Elephas maximus indicus: one gene and its partner. The protein of the gene in region 1 interacts with the protein of each later gene in a pairwise test. Links are inferred from orthologs where the notes say so. Each region holds a gene or a part of one and is shown in the gene's direction. Other genes may lie near its edges.

Region 1 (7,914 bases):
CTTTGCAACAGGGGTAAGGGTAAATCCTTTGCAAGAGGGTAAAAAGATAACTGTGCTGGTTAAGATCATGTGATTTGGTGTCAGGCAGACTTGGGTCCAAAACCCAGCTCTCCTGCTTACTGTCCATGAGGCCTTGAATGAGTTGCATAGACCCTTTTTTTTTAATTGTATTGTGCTTTAAGTGAAAGTTTACAGTGCAAATTAGTTTCTCATTCAAACATTTATACACAAATTGTTTTGTGACATTGGTTGCAATGTGTCAGCATTCTCCCCCTTTCCCTTTATACCCGGGTTCCCCATGCCCATTTGTCCAGTTTTCAAGCCCCTTCCTGCTTTCTTGCCTTCACTTTTGGGCAGGCATTCCCCATTTGGTCTCACACACTAAATTGAACTAAGAAACACTATCTAGTGCTGTTATAACAGAAATACCACAAGTGGGTGGCTTTAACAAAGACAAATTTATTCTCTCACAGTCTAAAAAAACACTATCTAGTGCTGTTATAACAGAAATACCACAAGTGGGTGTCTTTAACAAAGACAAATTTATTCTCTCACAGTCTAGGAGGCTAAAAATTCGAGTTCAGGGTGCCAGCTCCAGGGAATGGCCTTCTCTTTCTGTGGGGGAAGGTCCTTGTCATCCATCTTCTCTGGTCAAGGAGCTTCTCAGTGCAGGAACCCTGGGTCCAAAATACGCACTTTGCTCCTGGCACTACTTTCTTGGTGGTATCAGGTCCCCATGTCTCTCTCCTCGCTTCTCTCTTTTATACCTCAAAAGAGATTGGCTTAAGATACAACGTAATCTTGTAGATTGAGTACTGCCTCATTAACATCGTAGAGGTGGGATTTACAACACACAGGAAAATCACATCAGATGACAAAACAGTGGACAATCACACAATACTGGGAATCATGGCCTAGTCAAGCTGACACAATTTTGGGGGGACACAATTCAATCCGTAACACTTGCGTCTTTGGTTTTCTTCATTCTCCTTTGCTCCAAATGGGATGGGATCAATGGATGTATCTTAGATGGTCGCTCACAAGTTTTTAAGACCCCAGATGCTACTCACCAAAGTAGGATGTAGAGCATTTTCTTTATGAACTATGTTATGTCAATTGATCCAGATATCCCCTGAGACCGTGGCCCCCGGCCCTCAGCCCCAGTAACTCAGTCTCTCAATGTGTTTGGATGTGTCTAGGGAGCTTCTAGGACTTTGCCTTAGTCAAGCTGTATTGACTTTCCCTATATTGTGTATTGTCTTTCCCTTTATCAAAGTTGACTCTTGTCTACTATCTAGTTAGCAATTTCCCCTCCCTACCCTTTCTCTCCCTCGTAACCATCAAAGTTTGTTTTTTTCTGCGTGTAAACCTTTCTTTGAGTTTTATAATAGTGGTCTCATACACTATTTGTCCTTTTGTGATTTACTTATTTCACTCAACATAATGCCCTCCAGATTCATCCACGTTATGAAATGTTTTGCAGATTCATCACTGTTCTTTATCGTTGCATAGTATTCTATTGTATATGCACCATAGTTTGTTTATCCATTCAACTGTTGAAGGACACTTAGGTTGTTTCCATTTTTTTGCTATTGTGAATAATGTTGCAATGAACATGGGGGTGTGCATATGTCTAATTGTGTGATGGCTCTTATTTCTTTAGGATATATTCCTAGTAATGGGATTGCTGGATCATACGGTATTTCTATTTCTAACTTTTTAAGGAGGCACCATATTGTTTTCCATAGTGGTTATATCATTTTACATTCCCACTAGCAGTGCATAAGAGTTCCACATAGACTCTTTAATGACTAGTTTTCTCACCTGTAAAATGAGAATAATAATAGTATGTATCCCATAGAAGCGGGTGAGGGTGTGTGAAAAGCTTAATGATGCACTCCAAAGCTGGAATTAGCTGTTCTAGTCACAAAGCCTTGGGACCAGCAGAAGGGTGTGGGGGGAGGGAAGGAGGAAGACTTCCTTTTAGCAGAGAACTTTGGAGTTCCTCCCATCACTTCCTTCCCCAATTTCTCCAGCCCACAGCCAGCATGGCCATCTGCCCAGGGCTGCCCTGGGTGGACCAGAGCAATTGGGAAAGGAAGACCTCCTGTGTGGTAGACTTGAGCTGGGCTTGAGAGAGGGGAGAACTTGTCCAGGTAAAGAAGTTCAAGGAAGGCATGCCAGAAGGGAGGCACAAAAAATGCAGCAACATTTTGGAGGTAGGAGTGGGAAGGGGGTTTTGGTGAGAGGGAGGAAGCCTGTTTGGAGTAGAAATTTGTCATAAAAGGTTAAGGGAGCAACACCTGGAGAGTCATGGAAGGGAGCCTGGTAGTCAAGTTTTCTGCCAATAAGAGGGTACAAAAGGGCTCTAGTCTGCTTCCAGAACTAGAGACATCACCCCATTTGACAGATGGAAACACTGAGCCCAGGGATGCTGAGTCAGTGGCTTCACAGAGTTAGTGTCACCCAGTGCAGTAACTCATGGTGTAATACCCACCCCCACCGCCATGGATTTCTTCCTGTGCCAGACCATACAAAATCCCTAGTAACGTTTTTTGTACTAATGCTCCTAGTAAATCATAATTCTTGTATATCACTCCTTTTCCTTTAATTACTACTTCATTTTCAAAAAAAGTTACGATACAGGTTTACAGATGCTAATTACAACAATGTTGTAGCTAAAACACCAGGAAATTTGGCCAAATCAGCAACTAGAAAAATACCAGCAGCAATGAAAAAACCAGCACGTGCTTGTAGCATGTGCAGATGAAACCATGTGACTCGAAGGATCATTGTAATTGGGTAATAATGACCGCTCTGACCAAAAGACATTAGAAGGTTCAAAAAGTGAATAATTAGCATAGAGCTTTAGCCTTGTAGGTATATTGATACATGTAAGCTGGGCTTACAAAAAATGTTTTTGCTGTTATAGCTAACTACAGGGATATTGTTATAAAAAATAACAAATTTCTGTTGAGACGCAGCACAAAAATTTTATAAACAGTTATTTTGGTGTCACCTCCTCTGACAGTGTCACTGGGTGTGGTCCATGCCACCTGGGCCCCCCTAATGTTGCCACTGGGCTGAGTCAGTGATGTTAGAGGTGGTGAAACCACTGGATTGAGAAATACAGCCATAGTATATAGCCTTGGGGGTTTAAGGTGATATTTTGCCCCATTAGCTGTCTTCAGCTGAAAGCAACAGAAAACCTGACTTGAGGAGCCTTCACCGCTAAAGACTTTCTTTCATTAGCTCAAACCAGAAGGAGTCTGGAGGTGGGGCGGCGGGGGGCTTCTAGGAGCAGTGCAGCAGCGCCAGCCCCCCTGCTCTGCAATTCTCCCCCACGTCTTCTCTCTCTCTCTTTGAATTAAAATTACTTATGTTCAGAAAAACACTTGAGGAATCATGTGTTCTCTCCCCGGTGGCTGTTTCAGAAGCCTGGGTGGGCCCATCTCCCTAAACCCCAGGCACGCATAACTGGCACTTGGGAGCTTGGCGAGCCTGCTTCTGCTTCAGCTCTCATCTATCTTATCATTCCCGCCAATTGTAAGGGAGATACCAGCAAGGTAGTGATTTGTGGATGGTCCCTGACTCATCCCTTTTTGCCAGGCTGCCCTGCTGGCATCTTCTGCTGAGTGGGCACCTGGCTCCTCAGGGCTCTAGCCCAGGGCTCTTTCCAAGGTGGTACCAGACAGTGCCTCCAACACCTGCCCAACCGAACCAGAAATTCCACAAGTGTTCTCAATGCCATCCCCTTTCCAAAGGCTGGGGGTGGCAGATGGGGAAACTGAGACTCAGAGAGTTGGAGGGTTTATTGAAGTCCCTCAGCCACTGAAGTGTGTAGTGCCCAAGCCAAACAAAACCCGGAGCCTCAACCTCAGTTTTCAAACTCCCGCCTCCGTCTCTCTCTCAGTTCAACCATGTTCACGAAGCCTTAAGGCTCCACCTCCAGAGTGGGCCTCCCTGGCCCACAGTGTCTAATCTGGAGACTTGGGGGCAGTGCCTGTGAGGTCGCAGGCTGTTCTTCCTTGGCTAGATGCCCACTCATCCCCACCTCTATGTTCCTACAGCCCCCCAGAGTACAGCTGTGTCTGCCCTGAGAATGTGAGCTCCTTGAGGGCAGGACCTGGTCTGGGGCACAGAGCAAAGTTTGATGAAGGATAGATGTCCAGGCCTAGATGACACCCTCCTGAATAGATTCCTGCTGAGGAGTAAAGAGTCTAGCATTTTTGTGCTGGCCTGGCAGGGAGTGGATCTGGCTGGACTGGTGGGAGACAGAACCTGAAGTTCCTGGGCTCTTCTTGCCCACGCCTTTAGTGGGCCCCAAGCTCTAAAAGGAGTCCTGGTGGAGCAATGGTTAAGCACTCAGCTGCTAACCAAAAGATTCGCAGTTTGAATTCACCCAGAGGCTCCTCGGGAGAAAGACCTGGCAATCTGCCCCTGTAAAGATTAGAAAACCCTCTGGGGCAGCTCTACTCTGTCACTTGGGTTTACTATGAGTTAAAAATTGATTCAATGGCACCTAACAACAACAACAAGCTCCCTAAATGTATGGCTTCTGAGAATGTCCCTGCCCCTTCTCAGGTTGAGACACCCCAGCAGGGGGCCGCCACTAAAGGGCAAGCAGAGGCAAGCAGGGAGAGTGGCAGGTGGCAGGCAGGGCTGCATAGAAGAGCACAGCGGCTCCACTTCCTGTGAATGAAGGCCCTAGTGCCTGCCCCAGGGGAGGTTGCACAAACCTTCCTGTGCAGGCCTCAGGCTGCCTGCCTCCCTGGCCTGAGTCCCAGCCTGCCTCTCTCAAGAGCCGCTGCCTCCTGCCTGGGGCTGGCATCTCCTCTCCCTGCCCTGGAACTGGGCTGTGTTCTCTATCACCCGCTGGGCTGGAGAGGGGCTGGGCCGGACACCGGGGCCCGCCCTCTCATCACTGGGCATTGCTCCTTCCTCATTTTGCTGCGGATTCTAGCCCCAAACAAAACAGGTTGAGCCCTTTCCCTCCCTTCAGCAGTTCTGGCTTGCAGCTGCCTTCTGAGCTGCTGCAGACGGTGACAGCCGGGGAGAGGGGCTTGGGCCAGCCCTGCCGACACTGGGCACTGGACAGTGCTCCTTGCTCTTGGCCCTCAGACGGCCCTGCCTGGGGCAGGAGAGCTTGATTTGCCACAGTAGAGCCCAAGGATGATGCCCCAGCTGCACTTCAGAGATGCCTTTTGGGTGAGTGAAGGCTGGGGGCGCGGGGGAGGGCATTGAGAGAGTGGAATAGGCTCTGGGGAAGCTGAAATTTTCCATGGAAGTTGGAGGGGGATATAGCTCCCAGATGCAGGCTGTCTCATAAAAGTAGTGATTGATATACAACTTTGTCATGGAGGTGGTCTAGGCTACTTTCCCTTCTGAGCTGGAAGGCGAAGGGGGTACTGACTTCCCTGCAACTTCACCACCATGGGCAAGGGATGTCCTCTGCACTTCCAGGACTGGTTTTTCCTCTGAGAGACCCCTCCCCCACAGCAGGACCTTTTTAGGAGAGTCTAGCATGCGTTTTTTTTTTTTTTAGCATGCAGGTGGGGGCTTGAGGAGGCCATGTGGGGTGGAGGAGAGGGTGTCAGGTTCGGGCACCAGAAAAACTTGGTTCATACCTTGGCTCTGCAATTGTAGGTGTCTGAGCCCCACCTTCCCCATCTATACAGTGAAGATTGAAAAAAAAAAATTTTTTTTTTTTTTTTTAGTGAAGATAGATAATAATAATAAATATATCAAATGAACGGGAGGATTAAACAAGGTGAACTAATGTAATAATGCCCCCAGAATGTTGCTGGCACACCAAATGGTAATTCTCCTTCCCTCACCCAACACCTTTTCGTTTGGAGACCTTGGGGGTCTTTCAAGGTAGCAGGATGGGCTGGGCAATTCCTTGCTCGCAGTATTAAATCCAGCACAGGCCTGAAGAGTCCTCCTTCCCTCCCTGGGAAATAGCTGGCTGGCTCATGGAGGTAAAATGGCTTGGCCCAGGTCACAGGGCTAGTAAGCCCAGTTTGGATCACAGATCCCCTCAGCTTTTTTCCAGCTGTCCTTTAACCATCCCCTCTGCTCCTTAAGCCTGGCTGTCCCCAGGGTGCTCCTTCCAACCCTGCAGAGGGCTCTCTGGTCTTGTTGTGTTCAGCAGGCTCAGCCCCAGCCAACAGCCTGGCCCTCCCCAGGTCCTTTCTTGGGGCCAGGAGCCAGAGAGATGAGAGCTAATAATGAGCCAGGCCTGCCTTCCTTCTCTTTTGGACCACACTCTGCTCAGGGCCGGTGGCCATTGTGTAAGTGGCCTGATCCCACCTTCGTTAACTGCACAGTGGGCAAAAGCTTAGGCTGAGGAGGGCACTCTGCCCCTCTCGGGGCCTCTGTTGCCCCTTCTTCACAAAGAGGGGCTGGGACCAGCCCAGAGGAGCTGGTTGGGCTCATTTTGAACACCAGGGTGTTCTCTGCTGGACTGGCAGCTGGAGCCCCAAGTTGGGGGCTGGGGGTGGGGGCAGAGAGTCACCACGTCATTGCCCTGACTTGGAGTCTAAAGTTAGGGGAAGGGGTAGAGCCTGGAAATGCAGGCCGCCAGCCCAGGCCAGGCTAGGAGACCCTCACTGTTCTGTCCCTGCCCAGAGACCCTGGGCTCATCTTCCCTGGGATAGAACTGAGGCAAGGAGCAGCCCCCATGACAGGATCTGGGTGGGAGGAAGGAGGGGGAGGGGACTTAAAGAAACAGGGTGTGGCAGCAGCAGAAGCAAAAGCAGCAGCAGTGGCGAGAACCCAGCCCATCAGCGGTGGGTTCCTCCTGAGCAGTGGCATCCCATCCATGCTGAGTGCTTACCCCATGTCCGAGTGGCTGTGTACCTCGTGGCCTCCAGGTACCTCTCTCCTCCATGGCTGCTCCCTGGGCTGGGTGAGGCTGAAGCTTTCCCAGGGAAGGCCAGACGGAGAAGGGGAGAGAAGAGGCCAGCAAGAGCCTCTCAGATTCAGCCTGGGCAGACGCCCCAAAGTCACTGTCAGTATCACTTGCCCCAAGAGCTCTGAATTCTAACAGCCCTGGTGATGTTCAGCCCAGCCCAGCCATGACGACAACTAACATTCACTGAGCACCAACGATGTGTCAGGCGCTGTTCTCAGGCCTGTGTATGTATTAATTCATCTAACCTGCACGGCCAGGCAGTGGTGCTTTAGCAGTAGGATTCTCACCTTCCATTGGGAGACCGGGGTTCAAATCCTGGCCAATGAACCTCAAGTACAATGAACCGTCTGTCAGTGGAGCCTTGTGTGCTGCTATGATGCTGAACAGGTTTCAGAGGAGCTTCCAAACTAAGTCCAAACTAAGATGAACTAGGAAGAAAGGCCTGGCAAGCTACTTCCAAAAATAAGCCAATGAAAGCCCTATTGATCACAACTATCTGGTCTGAAACCAGGGGATAGATTACCCAATAAGCAAGGTACACACAGGCTTACTTGTGTTTACTTACTAATCTCCAGTGCACAATTTCACATAGGCTTCACCACAGCAAAGATCTGGTGAAAAAGAGGTGAAATTGTGCACTACAGATTGGCGAGTAAGCACAAGCAAGCCCGTGCATACCTTGTTTGTTGGGTAATCTGTCCCTTGGTAATTATGGGGCTGTTGAAGGACTGGACAGTGTTTCGTTCCATAGTGCATTGGGTTGCCATGAGTCAAGGGCTGACTCTATGGGAGCTAAAAACAATCCTCACAGCAACCCAGGAAGTAGATGCTATTGTCATCCCTGTTGTTCAGATGAAGAAATAGAGACACAGTGAATTTAAGCAACTTGCCCAAGGTCACATAGCTGGGGTTAAGGCAACAGGCTGGTTGTGCTACATTTTTTCTTTATTCATTCAGCTGATCACTGGATCTTTGGGCCTCTGAGTCTACATTCGTGA
Region 2 (8,591 bases), on another chromosome or scaffold:
GGTCGCTGGATTACGAAGCCCTGCGAGCCTTCGAGTTCCGCGTGGGCGCGACAGATGCAGGCTCCCCCGCGCTGAGCAGCGAGGCGCTGGTGCGCGTGGAGGTCATGGACGAAAACGACAACTCGCCCTTCGTGCTCTACCCGCTGCAGAACGACTCTGCGCCCTGCACTGAGTTGGTGCCCAGGGCTGCCGAGGCGGGCTACCTGGTGACCAAGGTGGTGGCGATGGACAGCGACTCGGGCCAGAACGCCTGGCTGTCCTACCAGCTGCTCAAGGCCACTGAGCCCGGACTGTTCAGCGTGTGGGCGCACAATGGCGAGGTGCGCACAGCCAGGCTGCTGAGCGAGCGCGACGGGGTCAAGCACAGACTCATCGTGCTGGTCAAGGACAATGGCGAGCCACCGAGGTCGACCAGCGTCACGCTGCACGTGCTCCTGGTGGATGGGTTCTCGCAGCCCTACCTGCCGCTGCCAGAGGTGGCCCTGGATGAGGCTCAAGCCGACTCGCTCACCGTCTACTTGGTCATTGCGTTGGCGTCGGTCTCGTCGCTCTTCCTGTTCTCCTTGCTCTCGTTCATCGCTGTGTGGCTGTGCAGGAGGAACAGGGCCGCCTCGGTGGATCGCCGTTCGGTGCCTGAGGGCCACTTTCCGAGCCACTTGGTTGACGTTAGCGGTACCGGGACTTTGTCTCAGAGGTACCTCTATGAGGCGTTTCTGACTGGAGGCTCCGGGACCAATGAGTTCAAGTTCTTGAAGCCGATTATCCCCAACTTTCCGCCCCAGGGCCCTGGAAAAGAAATAGAGGAAAATCCTTCCTTTCTCAATAGCTTTGGGTTCAGTATTCAGTGACCATGATTGACTTTTATATTCCATGTGCATATTGTTTTATGGCTCTTCCAAACCAATGTTTATTTTCCCCAATTTGTGTGTACTTTAAATTGAACTGATATTAATATTTTCTCATATTCTCCTGAATTTTGCTTTTAAATGAAAGTTTATCTTTATTAGTAGTTGTAATGAGATTGTAATTTACTCTCTAACCCAGGAGATCTAATTTATAATTAATTTGCCTCCCTAAATTACAACACCAAATCACTTTCTTTCTGTGTCCCCAACCCCCACCCCAGTTGAACTTTGATCCCAAATTATGCTTATTGTAAAATAAAACTGACCACTTTGGAAGTAATTCAAGTGTTCAAGCATTTCTTCATTTGATTCTTTTTTGTGGTTTTTCTTGTAGTTTAATATTGGTTGCTGTTTAGAAATGTCATTTTTCTTTCTTTAGGTCCACTGCGTTTTCTTGATTAATGTTTTGAAATATTTAATACTATTGAAAACAAACCTGAATGGTCATGTCCTGTGATACAACCCTAAGTGTAATTATCTAATTAGAAAGGCTGGAAAGCAAGTGTCTCAGTATCTTTTGTTTATACAGCCTGGAAAGTAATTATGAAGGTGTATTAATATTGTGACCACTCACAGATTCTTGGGATATGAAATTACAGTTTTACAAAGCTCTAGGACACTCCACTGGAATGCAGACATCTAAACAATAATTTGGGTAACATAAAGTGAACTTGTGTGTTAATGTGTATAATATTTTGCCTGTGTTCTCTCAGAATTTAACGTGAGAATTGGACACTGGGCACTGTTTTCCAAGCTTTTTAAACCATAACCAGTAGTAAAATTGTTTTATATATTATGTGACATACAGACATAATAGAGAAGTCTTATGAACAATGTTTAGCCTTTTGTGATGGAATTTGAAATTGCCTATGCTATTCTATTCTTTCTAATTATCAAATATGGTCATGATCCACTAAACTGATTTCAAGGCCTGCTAATGGGTAGCAATCCAAAGTTGGAAAACCATTTTTCTCAGAGATATAAAACTATGATATTCACTAGTGAATGACTCAAATGTAGAGACCATTGTGAAGTATCAATATATAGTCTTTTAGGGTTCTCATGTAAAAACTTTTAAAACCATTGTAAGGGAAACAGTTTAATCTCATGCTACACAGGCATCAACCAACTTCTCTTGCCTTTAATGATCTTACTAGTTACAGAAGAAAAAGCCTTCATGGCTGGGGGAGATTTCCCATGAATTTCACTTAAAAGTCACTCAAGTCTACACGTTACGGAAGGAAAATACAGTTAAACAAGACGCGTAAGAGTACAGAGAGAAAGGACGTGTGTGAGAGAGCAAGCAGGCACAGGAAAGAGGAAATGAATGGGGGTGAGTAAAGTGATTGCTTCTAATAACAGACTAGAGTCAGTGCAGAAAAACACCTCTTGAAGATATTTTAAAGCTTTATCTTAGCACTGTAGAGGGGCTGTCTATTGGTCAATCGATAACGCCAGGAAGTACAATCCCTTTCTCTAGCATACCTGAGATAACCATTACTGTGGAACAAACCAGTGTGGACCTATTAATTATTCTTTGCATTAAATATAAATGGGGAGAACAGAAGTCAACTATGGTGCATGTAGGCTAATTGAATCTTAATTTTCTGTTTTCAGAAGTGGAAGTAAGCGCAATTTTTCCCCCTAAAGGAAAACTTCTTTTTTTTTAGAACAAAAACTCACAAGATACTGGTTAATCAATAAAGATTACCCCCTGTACAGGGTTATTGCTTCTTAGCATACCAGACGAGATACATAGAACACTGAAGGTGAAAAATAAAGATAGCCATTTCTCATACATGAGAATTAATTACTAATCAAAAAGACCGACAAGACCATAACAGCTGTTGGCGAGGATGTGGAGAAATTAGAATCCTAATGTATTACTGGTGGGAATGTAAAATGGTGCAGCCACATTAGAAAACAGTTTGGCAATTCCTCAAAATTTTAAACATAGAGTTACCCTGTGACCCAGGAATTCTACTCCTACGTATCTACCCAAAACAATTTAAAATGTATGTCCACACAAAAAAACTTACACCTGAATGTTCATAATAGCATTATTCATAATAGCCAAAAAGTGGAAATAACCCAAACGTCCATTAACTGACAAGTGGATAAACACAATGTGGTACCTCCCTACAAGAGAGTTGTTATTACTCAGCAATAAAATGGAATGCAGCACTGATACACGCTACAGCACAGATGAACCTCAAAAACATTACACTAAGGGGAAGAAGCCAGTCATAAAAGTTCACATATTGTATTATCCCATTTATATAAAATGTTCAGAGTAGACAAATTTATGGAGACAGAAAGTAGATTACTAGCTTAGCGGTTGCTTACGGCTGGCGGGGAGGGATGGACAGTGACTGCTAACAGGTACAAGGTTTCTTTTTTTTGGATGATGATGGAAATGGTCTAAAATTAGATTGTGGTGATAGTTGCACAACTCTATAAATATTCTAAAAGCCATTTAATTGTATACTTTAAATGGGTGGGCTTTATGGTATGATAGATAACAAAACTTTAAAAAATAAAGGTGCCATGCTCCTAGCAGCCTGTGGTCCCAAGTAAGCTGAGCCTTATCTCATCTATAATGGGGCAGGAGGACAGAGCTATTCAGATGGCAGATGGAGAATCTAACAGGTACAAAAACAGAGGCAAGGACCAGGTACTCGTCTACTGTTCAATTTTTTCCCCATATATGAGCAGCAGGACTTCTTTATTTATGGAAAGAACTATGCATTTCCTGACTCTAATGAAGAGTGGCCAGGCCCAGGAGCTCAGATGCCAGGCACAAGTGACTAAATACTTGTCCTGAAACATAATGCTAAAAACAAATTTTGCTCTTTCACTTCAAATACGTCATTTATACATAAATTTAAACCAGTTCATAGGAATCAAGTAGCAGACTGTAAATTTAGGAAGTGGTCTTATATCCACTGGATATAATATGGAATTAGCCAAGAGTATGGGAAAGAAAGCACTTAAGTATATTTTAGCTTACGAACACATCCTTCTTCTCATCTTCCTTTCCACTTCAAGTCGTACCACCACTTCTGGCCCCACCGTTTAATATAACAACACGTTCTCCCAGTCCCAAGGTCTTCACCTCTACTCCAGTTCAATCATTAATGAATGTATAGATACATGCTATGCTTTTCACCACCCAGAATCGATCCTTCTGTGAAATAATAATTTCAGATAACTTCCTCTAAGAACACAATTTTCTATCCTTTTAACTCTTTCATCTTCTACTTTCATTGCATCTTGTCTTTGACCTTATCAGGATTTCCATTCCAGGATGCTGCTACTACCTACCCAACTCCTTTCTTGTTCCAATTTCCTTTATATTTTACTGATACCCAGGCTTATCCTTCCCAATCTCTCTCTCACCCATATTCTCAATTGTCTTGTTTAGTTGTCCCATATGGTGAAACTCTATCCCAATGAATGTAATTGTCTGCATTCTCCCATCTTACCCTTGGGACATTACACTTTATAAGAGAAAATTACAAAATTATCAATACTGCTGGTATGATAAATTTTTCACATCAAACTTAGACTTTCAGCAACAAGAAACTCTTTTATATTTTCCTAATGATGCTTTCTCTTCTATTCTTCATAACAAATATTTCAAATGTATTTAACTTAAATTTCTCACCCTACCACTTACATATTCCCTTTTACAGATGAACCTGCCTAAAACGTTACAGAGAAAATAGAATCCATCAGATGAGAATTCTCTCAGTTTTCTGACCCCCAAACTACAGCTTTGACAACATCTGTATCTCTTCTTCCCCCTGCTAAGGTCCCTTCCACCTATCTAAGTGCAATTCCTTCATACATTATCTCGATCTCATCTTTAACCATCTTCTGGGGGCTTCACGTTGATTATCTCCTTTCTTCTGTATCTTAAATACTCCCCTCTCTACAGAACACCAGACATGGACATTTTATATATGTTAAGTCTCTCTAATCTTAAAAAAAAAAAAAAACTCAAGAGTCTAAATTTTCCTCCAGATACAGATCTATTTACTTTTTTACAACCAAATTTCTTGAAAGAGTTGTCTATCCTCATTTTCCCTCCCTCATCACTTTTCAGTCAAGCACAATCTAATTTTCATCACAACCACTCTACTGAAACTCCCATTGTAAAGGTCATCAAAGATTTCTGTATAAGTTAAGTAAGGTTACGCTGCTGAAACAAAGAGTACAGAGGCTTGTAGAAGGTGTATCTCTTTCATGTAACAGTTCAAACGTAAATGATTAGGTAGATAGAGCAGTTTTGCTCCTCACAGTCTTTTTGGACCAAATTTTGCTCCCAGTACTTGTTCCAACATTATTTATGGCAACGTCATAGTCTGCATGGCCGTAGCTGGGTCAATGCCACACTAAGGGTCTGGCTGATTGGAAAAGAGGTGGTACACCAAGATGTCTTCCATTCCAGACTGAAAATTGCCAAACCAAAATTCTGCTCACAGCCTGTCTGTGAGAGCTTAATTCACTTGGCTACCCCCAGCTACAAAGAAGGCTGAGACAGGCAGGCCATCTGAGTAGCCACGTGTTGGGTACACTTCTATTACTATAGAAGAAACGCAAAAGAGATTTTGGTAGACATTCATCAGAATCTTCCACAATGATTGTCTTCTTAAATTCAATGGACAATTTTAATTCTGACTTTTCTGAAGCATTTGATAATATTGAGTTTCCTCATCTCCTTGCAATTTTATTTGCTTAAGTTTCACAATATTGAACTCGGGACCTTCCCTCTGTCTTTTCAAACACACTTCTTACTCTCTCTCCTCTAAATGAAGGTATTTTCTCAGAGTTCTGTCCTAAGCCCTCTTCTATTCTTACTTGACACACTTTCGCTTGGTTATCTTCGTGCTCTTACAGTTTTAATCACCATATATATCCCGATAAATCCCAAAGTCCAAAGTCCTTATCTCCAGCCTAGGTTTACTTCCTATGCTTTACTTACACACACACACACACACATTCCCCACAGGGGGGTGTATATTCTACAAGCATCAAAGTCAGTATCGGCATGTCCAAAACTGAACACATAATCTTCTTCCACCTCAACTTGCTTTATTTTTCAGCATTCCCAGTTTTAGTGAATGATACTACTAGCCACCCAATTGCCAATCCAGAAGTGTGGTAGTAATCAGCCTTGAGTCTTTCCTCTTTTTGTCCCCATGCCACCTATCAATCACCAGGTCCTACATATTTCATATCCTAAATACATTTCTAATCTTCCCTCTTCTCTCCACCCACACTGGCATTACCCTGGTACAGGCCACCATCGTCTCCTAACTGGTCTCTCTGGTTCCAGTCTCACTCCCTGAAATTAATTCTCCATATTGCAGCAAGGCAGATATTTCAGAGAGGCAGATGTGAGCATGTTAATCATTTCTTAAGTGCTGTATTGTATTTTAAATGCCTTAGGATAAATTAAAACATGCATGATACGACTTATGTAATTATTCATGTTCTAGCCCTGCTTTTACCCCTAATCACAAGTATAAATTCTCCTCTTCCATGGTTCAAGGTTCAAGACATACTGAAAACGCCTGTGAGAAACATCCCTCCCTCTCCTGGCTAGCTCCCTCAGATCACAACTTATAGTTCACTACCTCAGGAAAGCTTTCCCTGATGACCCAAGTCTGGGTTAGGTTTTATTTATTTTAGTTGTTGACAGATACTTACCTAGCACTTGCTAACCACTTAATAAATATTAACTCATTAGGTTCCTACAGTGATAATCCTAGGAGGTAAATGCTATCATCAACCCTATTTTGCAGGTAAGGAAACAGAGGCACATAGAGGCTAGGTAACTTGTTCAAGTCTATAGCTAGTGAGCAGCAGAGCCAGGATTCTGATGCAGACATCTTGGTTCCAGAGTCTATGTTCTTAACCACTATGATATGCTGTCTCGCAGGCACAAGCTGTTCTTTTTGAGTATTTCACATTGCCCATGCATGCACTATGACATATTTTAATTATCTGTCTGCCAATATTTGTGGCCTGTGAGCTCCATCAAGACAAGGGCTATATCTTATTCATGTCATGTCCTTAGAGCCTAGTGTTGTGCCTGAAAACTGAGAAAGCATTTGAATACTTGCTTAATGGAAGCATAAATAAAGGTATTTAAAATTATTCCTTTTGTTTTACTCAAGTATAAACTCTATTTTGAAGATCGACTCAACTAAGTTTAGCAAGAAAAATATTTCTGTGCATAAGCAATAATTTCACAAATTTTCAGAAATGGAAACTAAATGCTCTTATGATCTTATTTCATATTATAGTACTGTCCATTTCTTACTTCTTTCTACCTCCCTGTCAGGGATATCGTCTCTGTATATCTTCAGTGATGTCATGCTCTGCTTCATGCTTGAAATGTTCTCTACCCCTGAGCAACAATTCATATATGTACGCTGCTTAAGGCCAATCCAAATTTCACTTGCTGTGTGTACACTTGTCAGGAGTGAGAAAAATATAGGCATACTTGGGTGCCCATGCCCATTTTCTGTGTATTCACTGCCCATGAAACTAGTCTTGCTACATTATCAGCTATTTACTACTTGTTTTATATTTTTTCCTTTTAAGTGTTAAAGCTTTTTAAAGAATGTGGACCATGTTTTATAGTTCTTTACATATACCACAAATAAATGTATAATCGGGATTTAATTTGATGAAATGACTTTACTGATATATATGCTAGTAGGTACATGGACATCTACGGAAGAAATACAAGAAATTGGCATTGCCTCTGAGAATGTAGACTGGACCTTAAGTGAGGGAAAGAGACTTATACTTAACTGTGTACCATTTTGTGATGTTTGATTTTCCCAACTACACGCACGTATTTTTTAAAATAGCAATGTGATAAAAGTAATGACATTACTAACTATAAATGGCTGAACTCAAGTATTTACAAGAATGGAGTAGAGAATATATTTGTAATTACTCAAGAAATGGCCTGAAAAAAATATTATTTCTTCACCCAAAGACATTAATGGATCCTTCTTGCCAGGCCTTCAAAAAAGTGGCAATTAAAATGCTGTGTACACACCTTGCTTGGATCCTGATTAAAAGCAAACAAACAACAATAAAATAAATTGTGGAGAAAACTGGAGGAAAACAAACAGACTAAGTTTAAATTATATTAAGGAATTATTGCTAAGTTTGTTGGTTGTGACAGTGGTATTGTGGCTATATTTTAAAAGTTCTTATCTATTAGAGATACTGAAATATTCGGAGGAAACAATGTATGATGTCTAGGATCTGCTTTAAAATATTCCAGATGTGTTCATGAATTGCTTGTTCAAAGACACAAAAAATTTTAATGAAAAAATTTCGGAGACGCATGGTGGCGCTGCAGGATAAGATGAAAAACGATGCACGGGATGACTCTGTGGGCTTCGTCATTCAGGAGAACAGAGATCATCCGGTCCACTGAAAAGAGAGGCGTTAAAGGAGCTTCACCTACAGAGCCGCTGGAGGGTTGTATACCTTCCAGGGGGTTCATATAGAAAAATCAGAAATTCAGCCTTCCAGAATTAGGGCTGCAGTTTAAATTTTCCACACAAGTGTTTGCCTGAAGGACCCATGGATACCAGAGGGGCGCTTGCTCTGCTGCGGAAAAGGCAAGTCCTGATTCTCTTTGTTTTGCTGGGA

Evidence for each region.
Region 2: the proteins of PSTPIP1 (region 1) and protocadherin beta-14 interact in binary tests that used the Homo sapiens proteins (3 or more experiments, as listed by UniProt). The two-hybrid records come from large-scale screens. The link is inferred for Elephas maximus indicus from reciprocal best matches to the Homo sapiens genes PSTPIP1 and PCDHB14.

Annotation. Positions count from the first base shown.
Region 1 is NC_064831.1:66,556,440-66,564,353, reverse strand, and holds the start of PSTPIP1 (proline-serine-threonine phosphatase-interacting protein 1), read left to right. Parts: upstream 1-4,715; 5' UTR 4,716-5,172; coding exon 5,173-5,208; intron 5,209-7,914. UniProt on the Homo sapiens protein: Involved in regulation of the actin cytoskeleton. May regulate WAS actin-bundling activity. Bridges the interaction between ABL1 and PTPN18 leading to ABL1 dephosphorylation.
Region 2 is NC_064820.1:154,542,439-154,551,029, forward strand, and holds the start of protocadherin beta-14, read left to right. Parts: upstream 1-4,925; 5' UTR 4,926-8,522; coding exon 8,523-8,591. Other genes in the region: protocadherin beta-12-like, read left to right, coding at 1-848. UniProt on the Homo sapiens protein: Potential calcium-dependent cell-adhesion protein. May be involved in the establishment and maintenance of specific neuronal connections in the brain.